Drosophila melanogaster: one gene and its partners. Changing the gene in region 1 together with any one later gene gives a genetic interaction. Each region holds a gene or a part of one and is shown on either strand. Other genes may lie near its edges.

Region 1 (4,873 bases):
AGGAATTGCATAAAACATTTTTGGCCGTTCTTTTTTTATTTTTTCACTCTCCTCGCTCAAAACTTCGGCCTCGACCAGGCTCCAAACCTCGCACACACACAAGCACAGATATAGAACGTATGTATATCTACACGATATTGACCAAGAACGTAGTTCCCAAAAGGCTGCTTACAGCAACAACAACAACCGGTCTTAGAGAACCAGCGACCAAGCGATCGACCAAAGACGAAAGAATAACGAACAGCCACAAAACAAAAAAAAAAAACAAGAATGAAAAGCTTGGGCTTCAAGTCGAAGATGGAAGTACTCTAGATCTCTTGTAGTCAGACTGATCCGGTGGGTAACAAACTACCTTTACTCAAATTCCCTTACACCATAGGCTTGTCAATAGAGAAATTTTCAAAATTTGTCCCAGGAGTGGCATGTACTTTTTTTGAAACCTACAAACCTTTTTTAATTCTTCCCGTTGTATCCCAAACAGGGTATAGCAGACACCACAACGCAAAGTACACTCAAAGAAATCAAAGGCTGTGCGAGTTGTTCCCATCGAAACCCCGCCTCACCGGAATGTCTCGCCCAATTTCTACCCCTGCCCCACCACTTCCCTGACTTCAGTCAACAAGTTATGTCCATGGCAAGACGACCCGACCCCGACCCCTTGACTCTCCAATTCTGAGTCTTCGACTTTTGGCCGGGTCTTCAGGGGCGTAGCGAGGGTTTGGCACCGGGGCACAACTTCGATCATCATTATATAGTCTTTTGGTTGTGTTTAGTTACGATTTTTATATCATTTAGACTTTTTTCCATATAATCTAAATTTTGTTTTCTGTGGATTTTTCTAAGTAGCCCCTTGGACGAACTGGTTAAAACCTTACTTGGCTTACACTGATCCCCGCCCTTTCGTGGGGCGTGTGTATGCCGCATATTTGAAGCAAATGATGGTTGAAGAGGTGGAGGAGGGGAAATGAAAAGGAGGAAATCTAAAGAAGAGAAAAAGAGGGAAGAGGGAGCAAAAAGAATCCAGCAAATCAAGCTCACATTATGCTGAGGAATGCGCCCAAGTGACGATATCGTAGCAGCAGAGGACGCCGATAGAGGCAGAGTCTTCAGACCCTCAAGTTCCGATTCCGATTCTCCCTCGTCCAGTGCATCTGTATCTGGAGTTTTGCCCAGAGAGTTTATTTATAAGATAGTCGCATCGATGGCTAGCGCAGGGATACTGAAAGCTAGATTTGAATCCAATAGGCTTCCGCCATAGTTTGGCAAAAAGTGAATGCCAAAAGATAGAACTCATAATGTAATTGTAATATACAATGTAAACTACAAGATAGCATGTGATAAAAAGCAGAATTAGAAAGAAAGGTACCTTTGTTAAAATTCTCATATGCATTTTACTTAAATCTGCTATCCTAACAGGGTATCCTTTAAGCCCTTGAGAATCGGAATCGTCGTCTCGCGAGATAAGCCATTGGAATTCCACTACTCACACGGACGCACACACTATGTAGTTGGCTACTGGGATTCTCCTTTGAAGTTTGTTTTTCTTTTATTGCTTATTGCTATTTACATTTTCGTAGCCGTTGTTGTTGTTGCCATCGGGTTTGTGTATCGCTGTGTGCGCTTCTTTCGAATTCGAATTCTCTCTTGGGCTCTCTTTTCGTTAAACGCGGCTTCGTTAAGTTTTAACGAAATCTCGACTCGATCTTCGTTGTGTTCGGTTTCGCTGAGCAGGGGCAAAATCAGTATATCGCTAAACGTCAACGGTAACCGAACAGATCGTCGGGACAGCAAAGCATGTGCTTTCCACTGGGAAATATAAATTCGGTTTAATGAATTTATTCGAGACCTAACATTCGGAAAAGTTGTTCTTCAGATCTTAAATGCACACCGCACGCACACCAGATCGCCCAGACACACACAGAGCTACACAGATTCAGTTGCTTAAAGTGAAGTTCGGTTTTCACTGAAACAAAAACAGCGCGCTTCGTTTTCGCACTCGCCTCAATTACAAAAGTGATTTTTGTTGGTGTTGGTGCAACTAGTTCTGATTTTGGGAAAACGCGCCTTAAAACCACGAAAATATCTACGACTAGTAGTGTAAAAAAGCTGAAGTCAACTCCGAAAAGTTGGTGCTGGTCAAAAAGAAAAAATTCAGCCGCAACAACAACTGCCCACTGGAAACTACAACTACAACAAATAAAGCAGTCAGCAACAGCAAAAACAACAACCCAGCAAACGGCATTCTTTCGCGCAACAACAACGACTCCACGCACACAGATACTCTCAGTTGCGCTCGCCCGCGTGTGCAATTGTTCTGGTGTTAGTGAGTTTTGATTAAAGTATGTGCGACGCTGGAATGCGACCCGATCGCTGTTGACTGCGCAGTCGCAGCGCGCGTCGTGGAAGTGGAAGAGGTCAGAAAGTAACAACAACGAAACGAAAATTTTACTGTTAGGCACTTATCGATAGCCAAATCAATAGATCGGTTTTAAGAGTGCACGAAGAGTGAGCTTTAGTTAAACAAAACTACCAAACCAAAATTAAAAAGCCAGTTATTGTGGATTACGCGAAACCGAAACAGAAGCAGATACAGATACAGCATTAACAATGCCGACTTCTGCAGCGGCTTAAGGTAAGAAAAGGACAGATACACGTGCAGATATAGAGTGGTGTACCCATATGGGGCCATTTCCCCGGAATTTTAATGACTCCCTGAAAACGGCAAACAAAACAAATGCCAGCAAATTTCTTATCTGTCAACCATAAAATCGCCAACGTCCAACGATTGTTTAACATTTCGTTGTTGTCGCCAGCTTTTTTCTTTAAATTTTTTTTTTTGCGTCCCGCTAAGAGTCAAAAATTCAGCGAATTGTGCAATTAACCCATTTCGGGCCATGGAATATCAAATGTCAGTCAAACTTGACACTCTACGGAGGGTATATTGAAATGGGGAAGCTGTTTAGAGTACTATTGTGTCAAATATATATGTACATTCACATGTGCATACATATGTAGTTATATAGTAGGCCTGACCGACTTTTTAAATACCGGTCACATTTAATTAATTTTTTTTGACATTTTCTATGCGGCCCTAAAGTATCTTTGCACAGGGTTTCACTTATCTCGGGATCCAATTTCCAAGTGAGCTAGTCAATTTGATAGGTTCTATGGCTAATAGGCGACTTAAACGGTTGTCAGAACGATCGACGGCGATGCAATTAAGTGAAAATGGAAGCTCCACAGAGTTCTATTGTTATTCCCGGGTTTGGAATTTCAACCGTCCATCGGGATCCCTGGAACAATTGCTGAAATCAGAAACCGCTTGGCAATCAGACATCTTGAATGTAAATCAGCGAAAGATAAACAAACGGGTGAAAACACACGCTTTGGGTATCAGTCGATAAGCTTTAAGCGGTTAAACGCTAATCGTTAAACGATTTTGCCACCAGGCAATCATATACATATGGGTAACTGTATCTGCGGACAGACGTATCTATATCTCGGCAAGTACACATGTATTCCCCGGATCGTAGTTTTAGTTCGCTTGTGGTTTTTTCGATTGAGCACTGACGTCTACATCTCCATCTCCGTGCGTATCTCTTGATCTCCACATCACACTTGACCTCAGGCAATGGGCTTTTGCATTGAAGCTGACAACAGCAACAGCAATGATCATACAAACTCAAAATATTAATTTCGTAAACTGAAATTCCTGCACGCAGTTGATATGCGTGTGCGAACATTGAAAACTCTGGTTGCTCATTGCCTCGAACAATTCAGGCAATTAAAATGTACAACAAATTAAACAAATTTCGAATGACAATCGGAGTCGAGGCTGGCTCAGAGATATAGAGGATACACTAATGAACGACCTTCGAGGATTAAAAAAATGTACTTATCTCTATGCTCGTAAAAAAATATTGTTTCAACAACATATTGCCAGATAGGCAAAAACTTAAAAGCCTCTTTACTTAGAATTGGTCAAAGAATTATTCTAGCCATAATCAAAATACCTTAAACTTTAGAATTATTGGTTACTCGTATTATAGCGCATTCATTTAACCCAAGATACCCTGTATGGACTGCTAATTTTTCTACGGTATTATGGCAGCATAGTTTCGCACGCCTCCGATTTGGCATGCGGCACACGTTGCGGCTTCTTTTTTGTTTTTGTATCTTGCTGTTTGCTGCTCTCATTGTGGAGGCCATCGCCTCCGCCACCGTTACCACCTTCGTTCGCCCAGTTGGGCATTTCGCGTCTGCGGGGTGTGGTGCGCAGTGGAGGAGAGTGGTGCGATGTGGTGCGATTTTGTGGTGCCTAGCCAACTGAAGCCGAGCGACGACGTGTGGGCTGCTTTCTTTTGGCCCACTCCGCCCTGGCTGCTCCTCACAGCTATCCAGCCAACCGAGCAAGCGACCATTTTCATTATTATCATCGGCGGTCGGCGGGGACATTTCACGCATTTCAAAGACATCAAATTGTTTGGCCATAACTGGCACAACAAGTGGAATTCCGCAGCTCGGAATTCGGCATTTGCCGCTTTGCTGTTTTATTTCTCAGTCGCTTGTTCCCTGATTTCTGTTTTCTCCTATTCGATATTCGCAGTTTGGCAAAGAGACGACGAGTTATTTGGCGATTTGATGGCACACTAAGCCCGGCATACAGAAAACTGCTTTCATAATTACTTGCGATGATTTCAATTCAAAACAATATATATTATCCACATAATGCTTTAAAGGTGTCTGGAGTTCGCGAATTTAAAACACCGTGTGCTTTATGAGGTACACCCAAATTGATGGCTCTTTACATAATTTGCGTCATTAGGCAATTTCAACAATCGTTCCGAAAATGGGCATTTCGGGGACTTTTTAC
Region 2 (4,789 bases), on another chromosome or scaffold:
AAATATTTTGCTCTTCCGTTTGTCGAGTAAGGGATATCTGACTGTCGGGGAACTTGACTATAGCTGTCACTGGAAAACTTTATGGGAAAGTTTCATTCAGGGATAATTAGTGAGACAAGTTTGTGTAGAAGCGAACGGATGGCAAAACAGACGATGAACGGCGATATCGACTCCACCGCTTTCCAGAAACTGATCAATAATTGATAAACCCCTGAACAAATTTTTAACTCAAATTTTTATAATATTTCCTTTGGGCCCAAACAAAACAAATGGCTGTCATGTAGGTGGCTTCCGATAAATTCGCTCACTCGACCACTGTTATTAAAAATATTTATAAGTTAACTTTATGAAATAAATCTCGTTTCAACATCATCCGAAATTGCATTTTTGTTCTTCTCCCAGACAAAGGAATTTTAAAATAAATTAAATCTGGTGCGGCTCTTTCAATTTATTTTTTCGTGATATTTGGTTCAGCTAATTTGCTAATAAATGTAAATGTAAATGCGAAGTCATATTACTTCATATTCAAGAAGAAAATTCTGTTCTCTTCTTATCTTCATGTAAGAAATTCACATTAAATACCGTGGAGGTCTGAATATAAATATTAATTTCATTGAATAAAGTTCCTCGTTAATATAAAAATGATTGCAAACCACAGTTGCTTGTAAATAAGTACCATAACGATATCCATATTTTTGAACACCACACCCAATCGTCTAATTGTTTGGCCCAATCGAAGCGAAATTAAGCTCGGTGGAGGAGTATTGTAAAGGATAGGGGAATGACCGATTTCTAAGGAGCCACATAATTAGGAGCCAAAATAATTATTAATTAATCAAATACCTTTTTAGTCAAGTGGTATAAAAACCCTAAATATGGGAAATCTATCATGAAAGGTGCACTTTTAAAAGGAAGCTGACTTGGAATCACTTCACATATGTACGGCCATAGAGCTCAATTCATCAGCGGAATCTTTTCAGAAAATGTGGGCACGGTAATCTAACTTTTTAATGGTTAAAGAAAAAAGATTTAAATGGTTGTAATCAGACAATCGTAACTGACATCCTATTCTACGCTTCTAAACAGTGGTCTCCTGCTGTCACAACGCACTATTAGTGATCATCTTCAAAGCGTGGACTTCCGTTTACGATGATTTATTTACTAACCGGGAACAATACAAGAGTAAACTTCTTTCGAACTGTAATTTTTTCTGTCCGATCACGCAGGCTGCCTTTCTGCGTGCTTATCGAGCAGCGTTTTGCTTTCCAGCAACTTTTAATTACAGATTAAAGTTTCTTATCAGTCGTTAACTGCAATTCAGGAACGAACTTTCATATAAACATATTTTATACATCTGTTCAAAATCAAATAAATATACATGTGTAAATATGTGTATGCATATTTTAAATACCTATGTACCTATGCTTGCATTTGTAAGCATACTTTCATCTATATGAAAAAAGGGCATAAAAATGTATAACAAATTCCATTACAGATGTGTGCAAACATGGATTGCAAGTGACAATCTCTGCAAATGCATATATGTATGTATGTATGTGTGTACTTGCGCATTCACATTAAATTTGGAATGATAACAATTGTTACATCGAATTTCTCAATACCTATACATAAAACATAATTGCTTTAGAGTTACAACTAGTTTTCTTATTTGCACATACAGTTTGTCAAGAAACTGTTTACACACTGTGAAATAAGTTGAATTTTTGACTTTAAAGGTAAAAACTAAGGGTTCTTTGCTTAAATTAAACGCAATTTTTTTCTAAAATATAATTAATCAATATTTATTTTACTTATGAATCAAAAAACGAATTAAAAATATTAATTATACAAGAAAATAAACAACAAATTCCAAGTTTACACACTTTTGAGACTGTCAAGTATATAAATATCAGTTTTCAACATTTATAATCACAATTATACTTTGCATTTCTTACAGTTTTCAACACCTTTAAGAGGAAAACGTAATTTGCGATTTGTTTATTACTTTATTAGCCCAAAGCCATATTTAAAATATTGAAAAGGTAGATGAAAGGATTTTGTACTACTAAAGTAATAGAGTGATTCGAACAATATTTGCTTTTAAGTTACATTTTTAATGGAGACTGTGGGTGGTTTTGGTAACATATGGCTTGCCAGAAAATGCGGTGAAGTGTAAATTAAAATGCTTAATTGGGTATAATAGGTCTGGTAGGATGGCCAGAAGGGGGTGGTCACCCAAAACAACCAAGTTTAGAAGCAAGCATAAACGACCCTGTAAAGTATATATATATATATATAAACTTGAGCAGGATTTCTTACCAAATCGATCTGGGCATGTCCGTCCGTGCCCACACTTTTGAAAAATGTTTGATATTTTGCATTTTTGTTATCAGTCAGATTTATCAATCAGATTTTACAATCTACCGATTTTTACGTCGCTCACTGTCACGCCCACACTTAAAAAAAATTTTGTGATTTTTTTTCATGTTATTATTTTTCTGGTCATTTTCCACTGGTATATCGAGAAAATGTAGGTGAAAGACGGGAAATGGTACTATAGCGTCTACATTTTCTATATATTCTATATTTTATATCAGCCATTGTAAGTTGAGCACGTATTATGCAAAGCGATATATTTTTATTTAATTATATCTATATTTAATTATTCTTTATTTTATTTTTGTCTTATGTATTAGATGAAAATTGAGAGTAGGTAAAGGTACTAAGCTAGGGTCGAGTATGTCGAAGTCCGATTATAATGAGATTATATTAAATACACTCGGCTTTGGCCTGAGCACCCATCGCTGGTGATAAAGAATCGTTTAAATGCATGTCTCTCACAATGTGTCTTCATCTGTACTTGTTTCGCTGTATTTGTATTTATTTACAAGACATACACTTAAATACTATGTGGCACAATTGTAGATGTGTGAGTTCTTGATTTATTTGAGGTATTTAAAGTGAGTGTTTTCACGTAATCCGGCTTAATTCGTAGACAACGTTCATTGTATTCGAATCGGTTTAATTCGCGGATGGTCTGTGTGTTTCTTAATCTAAGAAGTATATACAAAGTGAAATTGGACCAGTGTTGGTAAAGGTAAAAAATACATGTAGTAAAATAAAAATGTGATACAAATTGTGGCGTTTGCTATTCCCAGGCTATCCCTAAGGGGCCCAGCGTAATGGCCAGGATGAAATACAATATCGCTTTGATTGGAATCCTAGCTTCTGTGCTTTTAACAATTGCTGTAAATGCTGGTAAGTGCTACAAGTTAAGCTAACCATAAATTATTGAAATCTTGATTTTTATCGAATGATATAGATTATGTAAACTAAATCAAAAATAAATGAGCCGATCGTGTAAAAACATGGTTTAACTACTTAAATCTCTTACAGGAGATTTAATTATGAATGATTTTCTCTACTTTACAAAATTACACTTTTTATATTATATTGACTATAATACTATAAAATTTATTAGAATACAAAACTTCAAATTTGCTCCAAAAAAGTCAAAGTTATAAGGATTTGGAATATTCAAAAAAAAAAAAAAAAAATCAAAGTTTGACAAATGCTGTTTTTGCCAGTTAAACCGCAATGTCCAACTGGATTCTTTTTCAGTAAATTGTTAAAAACGGATAGCAAGAGAAATTCTTTTGCCAATAGCTCCGTTAAAAAATCATATATTTCATAAAAATCGTTTGAGTCCCATCAATCAAAACATATAAAATTAGAGGACATTGCACCTTTAAAACTCAAAATCATTGATAACGATTTATAGACCTTATAGATGGTTCAGGTAAATACATAAGTGGTAAAGGGGGAACCCAAATTTTAAAATTCTTTCTGGTGATACTAATATTTATTTGGCGACTTGGAGATTACTTTTCCTTAATTCATTCTATACAAACATTTTCTTTTTAATTTTAGAAAACGCTTGCAATCTAGGATGTCCAAAATGTAAGTAATACAAAAAAAGTATGTATTTATATACTAAACAATTTTATGCCACAGCTGACAATGGACTTTTGAAGTACATACCCGGCAACTACTATGACTATTCCTTCGACAGTATTTTAACTATTGGAGCGAGTAGCGACGTTCCGAACGACTCAGATGATACAAGTCTTAAAGTGTCCGGATCTGCAAAAATTTTTGCGAAAGGAAACTGTGGGTACACATTACAGTTAAGTTCCGTTAAGGTAACTAATACAAAAGAGTCTGTGGAGAAAAAGATATTGAACAGCATTCAGAAGCCAGTTCAGTTTACACTGGTAAGTGGAATTTTAGAGCCACAAATTTGCTCAGACTCCAGCGACTTGGACTACTCTTTGAATATTAAGCGCGCAGTTGTATCATTGCTTCAATCGGGAATAGAAGCGGAACATGAGGTTGACGTTTTCGGCATGTGCCCTACACATACATCAACATCGAAAGTGGGTAACGCAAATATAATTACGAAGGCGCGGAACTTAAACAGCTGTTCGCATCGCGAGCAGATAAACAGTGGCTTGGTGTCCGGCAAAGTTAACGAAAAAGCTGGCATTACGTCTAGCCTGCTGTTGCAGGCAAACTATATAAAGGAGTCCAGGATTGTAAACCACTTAATTGAAAATGTTCAGCTGACAGAAACATATAAGTTTATTGGAAATACTAAAAGAAACTCTGATATCAGTGCAAAAGTAGTCACAATATTAAAACTGAAAAATCCAAGCGGTACCAAGGCAAACTCACCAGGAACTGGTTCTACTGTCAGAAGCCTAATATTTCAGAGACCAGAAACCTATAC
Region 3 (7,875 bases), on another chromosome or scaffold:
AACGTAGGTAGCTTTGCACGCAGCTACAAACATTGCTGGATTTACGCTGGTTTGTGGCAAAACTCTGGGTAAACATTATAATGAGCCCAATGCAGTGACCGGGCCCAAAACAAAAGAGCGTTGCAGACAACATGAAAGAACGCCCACACCATGTGCGCTGCTTGGACCCGACCCGACCCGACTGGCCCTACCCAAAATCGCAGTTCACAGCCAGAGCAGCTACGGTGCTCCAAGAGTTCGCGCGGACTGTGGCCAATTCCCAATTGCTGCCATTTCGTTACCCTTTTGCCCAATTTGCCAAGCATCAATGGGGCAACGGGGCGTGGCGGCCACATCCTACGGACGGATATACAGACATTGGACCCCTTTCTTTGCCTGTCTTTCAGTTGTACTTTTTTCAATTACCAAATCACCAAAAGCAAGCAGAGATCCGAAATCCGTTGAGAACTCCAGCGAACGTCGGCGAGCTTCGGCGAAAGAGAGGGCCAACCCAGTCAAGTCCAGGCCAGGCCAACCAGAGTCGAAACGGAAATTGGTAAGAGGAGAAATAAACGAAAAACAACAAGGGACGACAACTGGCGCAAGTGCAAATGGCTCTAAAAAAAAAAAAAAAGAAAAAAAAGCCCCCAACTCTACAGATCCGATCCCCCCGATTCCCGGTTTCTTCAGAGACCCGAAGACCCGTGGAGACTTTTGCAGCCCAGCGAACGAGCGCAAGACGAAGACTGGCAAAGAAACCGAAGACGGAAGACAGAAGACTCGGCCGCGGCTTCGGAGCTTCGAAAGCCCCCTATATAATAATAATAATACAGCAAGCCCCAGTCGCAATCTTCAAGTCGCCGCTCGCCGACGATCAGTTTGAGTTTGGCCGTGGAAGCCGCCAGTTCGGTGTCGCGTTGCTCAGTTGCTCAGTTGCACAGTTGCCCAGTTCCTAATGCTATATAGCTGACAGCTAGCTATAGCCGATACCTTGCTATTCGTACTACGATTTGTGGCGTGGAACGTGCGTCCAGATCGGTTCGTGTGTGCCGCCCCGTTCTGTTCGTCGGTCTCTGAAAGCGAAAACTGGCGCTCAAGTTCAGTCAGCGATTTGTCGATTTCTATGCAAATCATTACTCGGAAAAGAAACACATATAACCCAGAGACGACAGAGTCGGAGACAGAGTCGCCGTAACAACAAAAGGCAGAAAAAGCCAGAAAAAAGAGCGTGCTATTTTTATTTTGCTAAATGTCGACTCGAGGCTCACGTCGCCGGAGCAGAGCCAAAGTCTCCGTTTCAACTGGCGAGAGACTGTAACCCGAGTCGCGGTTCGCGCAAAAAAAAAAAACCAAATCGCAGAAGAAAAAAAAAAAAACCAACAGACAAACAGAAACAGATTGTATCTGTATCTATAGTCGCGACTTGCGGCTCGTTTTGTGTGCGCACATTCGTGTATCTGTATCTGCCGCCGAGCGCAAAAAAGTAATCATAAACTGGAAGGGAAAGAAAAACAAATAAATAATAAAAGAAAAAAAGAAAAGAGTGCCGCTCCCCAGCATCCGAGAAGTACTTCAACTGATACCGATTGATAGATACCGCCCCCAACTCCCGGCCAAGGCGTAGTGATTTGTGAATCAGCTGAGTCGGTTTTTCGGCGGCGACTGCGGTGTGGGAGGATCGATACCCCCAGAGATTTGGATCGAGAAGAAGGAAGTGGCTAGATAGCGCAGCTAATTGAGAATCCATCAAGTTCGCATAGAATGGCTCTCCGCTTAGATTATCGTTGCTTACTGGATGCCTTCGAGGATTACTACTACCACAAGGAGATCCAGCGTTTGGTCGCCGAAACCGCTGGGGGGGCTACAGCAACATCTCCCGCCTCATCCGCCTCATCCGCCTCCTCGACGGCCTCCATCTCATCTGCATCCTGCTCGAGTGGACCCTCCACTTCCTCCATTGTCTCGTCCGCGGCCAGTTCGCACGGTTCGTTGGCCCAGGTGGCTACTGCCCGAGCGGCCGCTGCTCTGGCGGACCAACAAGCACTGGCCAGCCAGAGGGCCATGTTCTACAATGTCCAGCATCCTCAGCAGCTGGAGCAGCTGCATGCGTTGCAGGCGGAGTCCGGCAATCAGCAGATGCATCCGCAGGCGAACGCCGATCCTAACGCCTCCTCCATGGCCAACAGTCTGCTCTGGCAGCCATGGCGAGATCTCCAGCAGGCGGCCGCCATGCATCACCAGCTCTACAGGCAGCAGCAGCAGCAGTTGCAGTTGCACTCAGGTTCGTTTGACAGGGCGACTTCAAAGAAATCGACTAGCGAAAATCCCCCGACTGACTGACCTCGGGGGACTGAAAGGTTGAAACTGTCACATACGGGTGATCTTGCCAGTGAAACTTGCTTACAATTCATTAGGAAGATTGCACATGAGGCCACAATGGCAGGGGATAGTTTGTTTGTATTCTTTCAAATGTGAGATCCCCTTCTTCGTAATTCCATTTTTCGGATTCGTGTAGTTTCACTAATTTGTCTTATCATAACCTTTAATTTATTCCGTGCTTCTTCTGGGAAGTAAAGTCTAAATGTTCAGGGTTCTACAACGTTGTTACGATTTATTATAACGATTATTAATAGCCATCCTGTCGGTAAATGGTACGCTTCAATTTTAGGTAAATAAATATCAGAATTGTTTGTAACAATTGTTTATCAACAACAGTGTGCTTAAATGAATTCAAACTCTAGTATAAACCCTCTTAAAAATTGTCGATTTCAAATTGAAAGAGGTAACACCCTGTCAGTGTCATTCTAGCTTTAAACCACCTGTCAGTTTTTAACTAAATGAAAATTTTAAACTATAGTAGAAACATTTAGAAACATCTAAAGATGTTTAATTACACATTTCAACGAAGCTTTGAATCTTTAAGTATAAAATCCAGCATAAAAAAACACAAAGTTCTTTCCATTTAACCCAAAGTTTCCTATGACAGCATAGGGGATGTTCTTGTTACCTGATTTCTAGTTGAAATCTCATTACAACAAGATCTTTAATTGCAGCTTTAAAAACCGAACAAATAAGAAGCCAAAACAAAGACAATATTGTTTATATAAACTCTTTGCAGACCAGAGTATTGAAATCTTACAAGCATCTTGTTAAATAGTATACGTATATCACCGAATGAACATTCAAACTCTTTCCACTTCTTGGCATGACTGTTCCTTGAAGTAAACAACACGTGTGGTTCTAGGTTACCACATAATATGTTCGCAATTATCTTGGGTGGATGGAGGCAGGCAAAGTGCAGCGAAGAGCAGGACAAGCGAAGACCACGTTGCTGCACCTGCTGCTCACGTGGAGGCTACACTCATTCGCCTGATCGGTGCTGAAGTTCAATGGATCGGCGAACGTGCCCTTTCCTTTGGCCACATGGCCACGATAATCACTCACCCACTGCGCTCATGAATGGGATATCGGAAGCGATTCGCTAAGCCTCGCTTTATCAGTTAGTGGGCGGCGTGTGGCCAGGACGTGGACGTGAACGTGATGACGATTGGGATTGGGACTCAGACGCAGATTGGCAACGGCAGCTAACGCAATCGGTCACGCCGGCTGCAAGAGCGTATCGATGGCGTCTCTACTTGGCTTGTGCCAACTGGAAAATTGGTAATGAAATTGGCAACACTTTTACTGCGCTCCCCCGTCGCCAACGATTGGCTTCGGGCTCGAATTGGCAAACGAGCAGACAAACACACTCACACTCCAGTTCCACCGCGTTAATTGGCGACATTGCACAAATCACACAAATGCTTTCAATTACATGGCGACGCCAGGCAAACACAAAAATCACTGGAAAAAAAGAGCAGCCCGAGAAAGAGCAAAAAATGAGCGCCTGTTTAAACATTAAACCTCCATAAAAAAAAAATAAAAACGATGAGGTGGAACTTGGATTGGGAAGGGGGGGGGGGGGGCTTGGTTTGGGGCTTGGAGCCGCTGTGCTTGGCTCGACTCGGTTTTGCTTTGCTTTTGTTAATTTGTTGACATATTAAAACCAGATTTGCAATCAACTCGGCCAGCGGGTAATGCGGTGCGGGTATAGCGGAAAGTCTGGCAGGGATCGGGGGCTTGGGGATCGGATACGTGGTTACGGGCATGACTCACTAGCCGGCGCGAGTAAAGAAAAATAAACGTAAAATATATAAATAATGAAAAACGCCTGCGATGGCGGTGACGGTGGCGGCGGCGACGATGATGGAAAAATAAATGTGTACACAAAGCTACAAAAGCTACAACAACCAGAGCAGCAACAACTTGTTTGCATAAGCCACAAAATGCTGTTCCCATTGCTATTGCTATTGCTTTGAAGCCATTTGTAGTACAATCTTACACTCCGAACAGGCCAAAACTTATAAGCATGCAAGTCTGCTTGAGTTTTGTCACTCTCGCGCCGTCTCTCTCTTTCCGCCTCTCCTCCCCTCTCTTTCGCGCGTTCCCTTCGGGTCGGAACCAGATATTGGGATCTCACTGGGCCGGCGCTTTCAAATCTCGCCAGACAGCTGATATATCACCTCAGCGGTGAAGAAGTTTTGAGATTGGCCCACCGTTACCGGAAATTGTGAAATGTTTCGCCTGAAATAATGGTTCGATTTTTTTGTACAATAATAATGTACTCTAATTGTTATGGGCAAAGTTTCTAAAATACTTGGATTTATTTTAACATCTAACATTATCAATTGAAAAGTCTATTATTTGCTAAATTTGTTGTTTATAGGAATATTAGGGAAGTAATGCTTTCCTTGTAATTGCTATCCACAAAACATTGAAATGAAGGCAGATAAATTTACCATTTATATGCATCTCTATAAAAATAAATGGGTATCAAAAACTAACGAAATAACCCTGTATCGATTATATACTTATACGAATTATAGAATAGAAGACCTGATGACAAAACCTTAAATACGAATGTATAGATTGGTTTCTTAATTATTCAACTTTGCGGTTGTTTTTTTATTGTTTATTCAAGTCGTTCTTTATGGCTTCAATTCATTTTACAAATGCCAAAACCTGGTTTCTACCTTTAAATCGTTTGATTTTTCTGTTCGGAGTACAAGCTAACTGTCACTACATCCTACATCGCCTGGATCCCACGACTGTCCCTTGCTTATATCATCGATGTAACCCCATTTCGAGCTCCCTTTTACGAACTCCCCCTTAATTTCGAAACGGCCTGCCATTCAATCGACTTCCCCTTTATCGCCAATTAGCCGATACAGAAATGATTAAAACGCTGGCAGCAGAACAAATAAACAATGCCGAGAGGATGCTGAAAATGCGGTGGCGGCGAAGGTGAGATAGGGAGCTGCAGACCACAATCCGCAAAAGAGGGGGAGCCTCAAAAAGAAAGCTTAATGTTCCAACTTCCATGCTCCATGCTCCATGCTCCATCGTTGTCGTTTTCGTCTTCGTTGTTGTGGTTGTTGTTTTCGCTGTCGAACCGCCGATCCCCCAACAGACGGCGACGTCCGACGACCGGAAATGTGCAATAAAATTTGAATGTTTCTTTATTATTATCATCATCCCCATCATCATCCGCTTGAGCCCGAGCCCGAGCCCGAGTCCAAGCCCAAGTTTGCTCCCAGCCTCCGTGTTTGTTGGTTTTTAATGCCTCTTGGCCTGCAACTCCAACTTCACTGCCTCCGCCCTCCTCCTCCACCTCCTCGTCATCCTCTGCGCCCAGTGCTCCACTCGGGACAGACCAGTTTCTTGGCTCCTCTTACTGGTGCTCCTCTGCCTCGCCGGTTTGGTTGGACTCGCAGAGGTAGTAATATATGGCAGCCCCGCAGTGACGTTGCCAAAAACAGGACAACGCTCCCGCCTGCTCCTACCACTCCTCCTGCTCCTGCTCCTCCGCCAACGCCAACCGCCTCCATCCCAATCCAGCCATTCATTCATTCATTCATGCCTGGGTTCCTGGGACTGCAGCTACTCCTCCTCCAAACGGGGTTCTCTGCGCTGCTCGAAATGTGCAGAAGTCGCCCGACTGGTTTGCCTGCCCCTTCGATATCGGCCGAGAAACTGGGTTCTGGGACCTGGCTTCCCGCTGCCAGCCTTTTGCTTTATTTATAAACTTGGTTTCCTGGCAAGCTGCAGCAGCAGCTACACTGAGCGCCTGGAGCAGATGGATCTTTCATCCCGACGGGATGCCCACGCTCCGTTTTGGCCGCTTCCCACGCCGGCAGCTCGGTCAATCGCCCATTGGCAGGCCAGGCACGTTCCTGCGTTTCGCTCAGTGTAGGCCAGGCCCAGACTTTAATACACACACACACACACACATACAACCCAGGCGAACTCGAAAAAGAGCGTAGACCAAACGAGTTTTCGTAACCAATTTTGTTGGTGCCTTGGAGTTTCGATTGTATATGCTTTTTCTGTTGTTATTATTTATTTGTTCGAGTGTGTGTGTGCCGTTTTTTTTGTTTTATTTTTATTCATATTTTTTGCCGATGACGGCTACGTCTTCTTGTGCATAATTTCTGTGCTGCCTTAAACTCTTCCTCCTGCCCGCTCTTGCCGCTCTCTGCCGCTCCGCGACTTTGCAGCTTTTGGCAGAGGTTCATTCAAAAAAACGAAAGACTTAGGCAACAAACTTGCAGGACAGAGCGGGCCAGGGGGGGGTAGAGATTTGGATACATAGACGCAGGCAGGCGATCGGGTGGAGGAGAACCTTTGTAGAGTCAGCCTCGCCTCAACTCCAACTGATTCATTACGCCCACTCATCGACCGCATAATCGAAGCCAAGACGACAGACACGTAAACCGCAACGAGCATTGGTGAATCGCTAGCCAGACAAAACCCAAATCAACCGCAAAGCCACAGCAAATTTATGGGTTTTAATTGAAATTCGATTTTTGTCTATAATATGGACATATGGACTATTACTATTCAGAGGGCTAGCCAAAAAGATGGCCAAAACAGATAGCTCGTTTTCCTGAAAACCGTTTTTGACTCTTGATGTTTCTTTTTTTTTCTCCTTGCAGAGATGCGTGCGACGTCCAAGGTGCTGACCACCACCAAATGGCGACGCGAGCGGCGTCAGCGTAGTGCCGGATACCAGCCGCACGAGGCAGGCAACAGCGAGAGGGAGCGGGAACGGGAGCGGGATCGAGAGGATCGCGACATGGACAGTCCCATTGACATGTCGGTGACGACGGGAGCTCTGAAGCAGAGAGCCTCACCGCCGCCACCCTATCGCGAACCCTTGCCTGGGACCAACTACGCGGCCAACAGTCGACCCAGCGTCATTACCCAGGCTCCACCCAAGCGAGAACCACCGGAGCAGGCCCACTCTACAGGTGAGAAGTCATATATGCACATTAGTGTCAACGATCATACTAACCTGATGCTTTGATTTGCCTTGCAGATATGGCGATGTGCGACATTGACGAGCACTTCCGACGCTCACTGGGCGAGAACTATGCTGCCCTGTTCGCCAAGAAGTCACCGACGCCTACGCCAACACCCACGCCCTCGCCAAGTGGTACACCTAAGCAGCAGGTTTCGCCACTGGCCTACGGACTGCCTTCATCAACCAGCACAGCGGCATCGCAGCACTACCAGCAGCAACGCTCGCCGCTGGCCAAGTCGGGATGGGTCATTCTGGAGCCCGAATCGCTGCAGCCGGAACTGCCGCCGCCGCAGGAGGAACCGCTTCCCCTGTCGCTGGCACTGCATCGCACCCAAACGCCGCCATCGCCGCCACCTTCGGCCACGGGATCGGCACCAGCGCTACCCACGGCCGTCAGCCAGGTGATGGAGGCAGCGGTGGCGGGCAGGCGGATCCTGGACACGCCACACCACACGCCGCCGAGATACAACACACCACCGCCTCCACCGCCGGCT
Region 4 (4,751 bases), on another chromosome or scaffold:
CGCCCTAACCTTTAAAGGACTGGGGCAAATCAGTTCTTTTTCAGTTATACTCTGGCTATTTTTATAGACCTGGCTAACGACTTGCACTAATGGCCAACGTCAGGCAATGGTCGCGGCCGGCTGCGTAGGCCCACGGAACATGGCCCACGACCCGCGTCACGGCCGATTGCACTTTAACACTTGACCAGGTTGAAACACCGGACACCGGAGAGCGGAGAACGCGGGTGTGTCCAGCGTACAATTTCCATTCCATTCTCGATTTTCATTTATGTACGTGCCAGAGAATTTCCATAAACTCGCGGGGTCACGTGTTGTTATCGTTAACGCAATGCAGGTAGTTTCGGTTCATTTGTGTTTTCCCTCCACTTTTCCAGCGTGCCTAGTATACCTGTGCCGCGATTTTTCCCCTGAAAATGATGGATTATATCTGTTTAGGGCGGAAATTCAAACGAAAGCCGTACAGAAACCACTCTCGAAGTGAAGATGACGCTGATGATCTTCGCTGTCGGTGTCTGGATTTTACGATGGAAGCTGCCATAAACCAGTTGCTGTGATGCCTTTCAGGGATTTCCCAGCCCAGACATTCATTTTCTCTTCTTTTTATTCGTCGGTTTTCCTTGTCAATCATAAACCAAAGTCATTTGATAAATTCTACGATAAAAGGTATACGAAAATACAGGGCCTATAGAGAGGTTGGTTCTTTACAATTAAAAGAAAATGTGTTCATGGAAATGAATGAATTATAGCTCTTTATTAGGGCTTTTCACTCGTTTGGATTTTTTTTAATTATTAAGCTGAAAATTTGTTTACTATTAGCTTCAAGAGCTGATAAACTGGTTTACTATGTTTTCGCTGCACTCCAGGGCTTTCCCTACTTCGAGTTGGAAAACTCTTTCTCTATCTGTGCTCCCTTCTCCTGAGTGTTCTTCTTATCAACCTATCAACGGAATTGCGGTATTGCTGACGTTGAGTTGGCCGCGCTTTTGCAACTGTTGTACTTCACTTTCCGGCCAAAAGATAAGATTGCGCGTAACAACAGCCGGATGGCTGGCCGTTTGGAGGGTTGGTACTCGAATTGTAAATAAATAGACCCAATTTTTGAGGTCGTTTTTGCACAATCCGTTGGAAAAAGGGGGCAGACAATGCTAAGCCAGCCAAACAATTGAGCCGCGGACAACATGTAACAGAAAATTACACATAATGAGTCAGCAAGAGTTGTGAATCAATTATTATGATCGTTATGCGATAAGTTTCACAGATTTCACTGTTGTGATATCGCTAAAAGCGCTTTGAAAATGCAGACAAATGAGGTTTTATTACCAAAAAATCGCACCAGTATCAACAAATGCAGAAACAATAATTTGTTACGATTCCCTGTTATTTACCTAAAAATATGATATCCATTTGTAAGCTACAGTGTGTAAAAAATGCGGGTCACGTTAAAATATCTCTTCTGGTTTCAGTAATTAATTCTTCTTGGCCAAGATTGCTAACATTAACCGCCTTTGAAGCTATAATTTGATTAATTATCTCTCTCAGCGACTAAAGTTGTACTCTACTAAATATAAATTTATACGCAATCGAAGCTAATACATTTCTAAGCATTCCTTTTGTTTGCAAGATAAGACCGAGCACACAATCATCAAAAATTAGAAATGAGTGTATAATTAACACAATCAAACTTCAGGTAAGCCAGCTCCATGAGTCACTTCTTGAAGGAAAACCCGTTGAACGAGTTTTTCGTAGGCCCGAAATCATTGAAAATCCAAATTCCTTTTACCCAACATGACTTGGTCAACATCCCCAAAACACACGAATGCCCCACCACACACACACATGACCTGTTGCTCTTTTTTTTCGATTACGAGCTTTTGAAACATCAGCAAATGTTTAAGCTAAAGAATGCATGTGGCTCATCATATAAATTATTTACAGTGTGACTTCCGTAACTCAATCTCATTAACTCATTAATCATATGAGCAGCCAAAGGCTTAAACACAATAACAACATTACAAATTCCATTTAAAATGGGCATCTAATATACATTTTAATAATTTATAACGGGCAAGTTCAGTGCTGTGGAGTGATCACTGTAGCTTAAGAACCGCGTAAACACCGTGTTGCTCTCTCATGTCCCCATCTTCGCTCTCTCCTCCTGAATGTCCTCGACTGCCTATCGCCCTCCCTCTCACTCACTCGCTAGCTCCCTCTCAGGGTTCTCTCTCACCTGTTGCTAAGTAAATAAGTATGAAGAGCGGTATCCATTGAGGCGACGAATAAACTGAAATGGCGCGCTTGAGCAAATGCGACGTAATTTGAGCTGCGCTTTTCGTGCGGTCTCGACTTCTTGCTGTTGTTGTTGCTGTTTCTACTGATGCCGCCACTGTTGTTGTTGTGGTCGTTGCTGTTTCTGCTTGCCGCTGTTTTTGTTGTTGCGACAGTGACGCATTGGCGATTTTAGCCATGATCGCTGATTTGTTGGCTCAAGTCGAGTTTTCGTATTGGAAAGGGTTGCTTTTGGCTAGATATTATTGCTATTCAAACGATACTCATTGAGCTTGTTGTTGTTGGTAATTGCATTCTCCCTTCTCTCTGCTCCACGCAAACACTCATACGCACACACACACACGCGCGCAATCGGCACTTGGCTTAGAACAGGTTATTTTTATTTTTTTTAAGTTATATTCCTCTTTTTCTGCTAGTTGTATTATTTGCAAACTTTCGCACGCGACACTTTCTAGCCTGAATTTGAATATTGAGCACAGAGATTCCACTTTGAGCCAACTAATTTGCCATTTCTTCCCAGGCCACGATTCTGAATCACACCAACACACACACACACATACGAGCGCCGAAGACTTGGCTTAAAAGAGAGGTGCGCTGTTCTTGTTGTTGTCGCTGCCCTTTTGAACTGCAAGCAGCACACACACACGCGCGCGCACACACATTGGCCAAAACGGGGCGAAAAAAACGTTACGAGCGCGAGCAACCAATAAAACGTACGTACGAGCAGCAAGAAAAATGTTCGACCGTTTGAATCGGCGATATCCGTTTCGTGGGCTTATATATGGTGCAGTGTGACCAGTCCGCTTGGCTAGGTTTGGCTGGATTTTGATATAGAGTCAACATGCATGGCCACACTGATATTCAAGTTGCACAGTGGTACAATATGTACAAAAAAAATATTTTGTTCTTGAATTGATTTCGCACAAGAATTAAACCGTTAATTACATTTTCATAAAACTTTACTGATATAACTATTCAATATATCAATTAATATCGTGTGTATGTCTAGGTGACATTCCAAAATACACGAGCATAGTAAAGTTTAATTTATGGCGGGAACATGAAAACGTAAACTTCACTTAAATTACCAACGGCAGTTATGGGTTTTGTAAGTTGTGACCTACATCATCATAATCCAAATAGAATAAACCTTTTATAATACCGCAAATCTTAACTTGCGAAAATTCCGCACTGCACATATTTTCAAGTCGGAATGCATAAAAGTAAATTCCCCATAAATCAAGAAGCCGGCGGATAGCAACTACGTACTTAATGTAAATGTAAACGGCCACAAAGCGCCGACTTATCGTTTCAAAGAGAACTCAGCATAAACAGGCAGCACCGACAACATGTCGTCAATTTTTGGAGGTCTAGGTGGGACTATATAATGTGGGTAAGCCTGGTTAGAAATCACAGCAGTTGGGGAATTAGCAAAATGGGCAAATCGCAAAATAATACTGGTTCGCTTTTGCTACTGATTATACTGGGCATTTCTCTGGGAGATTCCATGCCCCTGGAGGATATGGACTCCCAGGAAATGATTGACTTGACAGATCTTGGAGATACTCTGTTCGGTAATCCGGACGTGGAGACGACTGGAGCTTTGGTTGAGGCACTCGGTGTGGAATCCCCGCTGAATCCCGAGGAGCTGGGAACCTACCACGAAGGTGACATCCTGATTCCACTGAGCTACAGGGACGCCCGATTCAATGGCACTCGTAATGGCATTTTGGCGCTGAGTTCCCGCTGGCCGGGCGGCGTTGTGCCCTACGAGATCAAAGGTCCTTTTACCAGCCAGGAATTGGGGAATATTAACCACGCTTTTAAGGTGAGGTTTCAGTAATAGTCCCTATTACAATTTACAAATAAGATTTTGTATCTTAGGAATACCACACCAAAACATGCGTGCGCTTCAAGCCCAGGACCACCGAAAAGGATTACATCTCCATTGGTAGCGGAAAGTCTGGCTGCTGGAGTAGCATTGGGCGCTTAGGTGGTCGCCAGGAAGTGAATCTGCAGTCGCCCAACTGCTTGCGTACATACGGCACTCCCATTCACGAGCTGATGCACGCCCTGGGCTTCTTCCATGAGCAGAATCGTCACGAACGTGACTCCTATGTGCGCGTGATGAAGGACAACATCAAGCCCGAGATGATGGTCAACTTCGAGAAGTCCAGTTCCAGGACACAGTACGGCTTCGGCGTGGAATACGACTATGGCAGTGTGATGCACTACTCCCCCACCAGTTTCACTCGGAATGGCCAGCCCACGTTGAAGGCACTGCGTGCCACATCCGATGCCAGCCAGATGGGTCAACGCAAGGGCTTCTCAGCCGGAGATGTGCGCAAGATCAACGCAATGTACAAGTGCAAGGTGTAGATGACAACTGCAGTCGAAGCATTCGGTAACAGTATTTTGACAAACATAAATATTTATCATCAACAATCAATTGTGTTTACTGAAAA

The links.
Region 2: of ex (region 1) and Zyx, changing one suppresses a phenotype caused by changing the other (phenotypic suppression), as found in Drosophila melanogaster (2 studies listed by BioGRID).
Region 3: of ex (region 1) and Tgi, changing one suppresses a phenotype caused by changing the other (phenotypic suppression), as found in Drosophila melanogaster (one study listed by BioGRID).
Region 4: of ex (region 1) and crb, changing one suppresses a phenotype caused by changing the other (phenotypic suppression), as found in Drosophila melanogaster (3 studies listed by BioGRID).

What each region holds. Positions count from the first base shown.
Region 1 is NT_033779.5:429,486-434,358, forward strand, and holds the start of ex (expanded), read left to right. Parts: upstream 1-1,741; 5' UTR 1,742-2,632; intron 2,633-4,873. UniProt on the Drosophila melanogaster protein: Activates the Hippo/SWH (Sav/Wts/Hpo) signaling pathway, a signaling pathway that plays a pivotal role in organ size control and tumor suppression by restricting proliferation and promoting apoptosis.
Region 2 is NC_004353.4:1,061,926-1,066,714, forward strand, and holds the start of Zyx (zyxin), read right to left. Parts: upstream 3,077-4,789; 5' UTR 2,898-3,076; intron 2,457-2,897; 5' UTR 2,320-2,456; intron 995-2,319; exon of another isoform or gene 753-994; intron 1-752. Other genes in the region: apolpp (apolipophorin), read left to right, coding at 3,183-3,258, 3,931-3,960, 4,015-4,789.
Region 3 is NT_037436.4:13,493,887-13,501,761, forward strand, and holds the start of Tgi (Tondu-domain-containing growth inhibitor), read left to right. Parts: upstream 1-1,740; coding exon 1,741-2,260; intron 2,261-7,013; coding exon 7,014-7,328; intron 7,329-7,396; coding exon 7,397-7,875.
Region 4 is NT_033777.3:24,293,341-24,298,091, reverse strand, and holds the start of crb (crumbs), read right to left. Parts: upstream 3,015-4,751; 5' UTR 2,466-3,014; coding exon 2,228-2,465; intron 1-2,227. Other genes in the region: CG5715 (uncharacterized protein), read left to right, coding at 3,722-4,114, 4,171-4,665.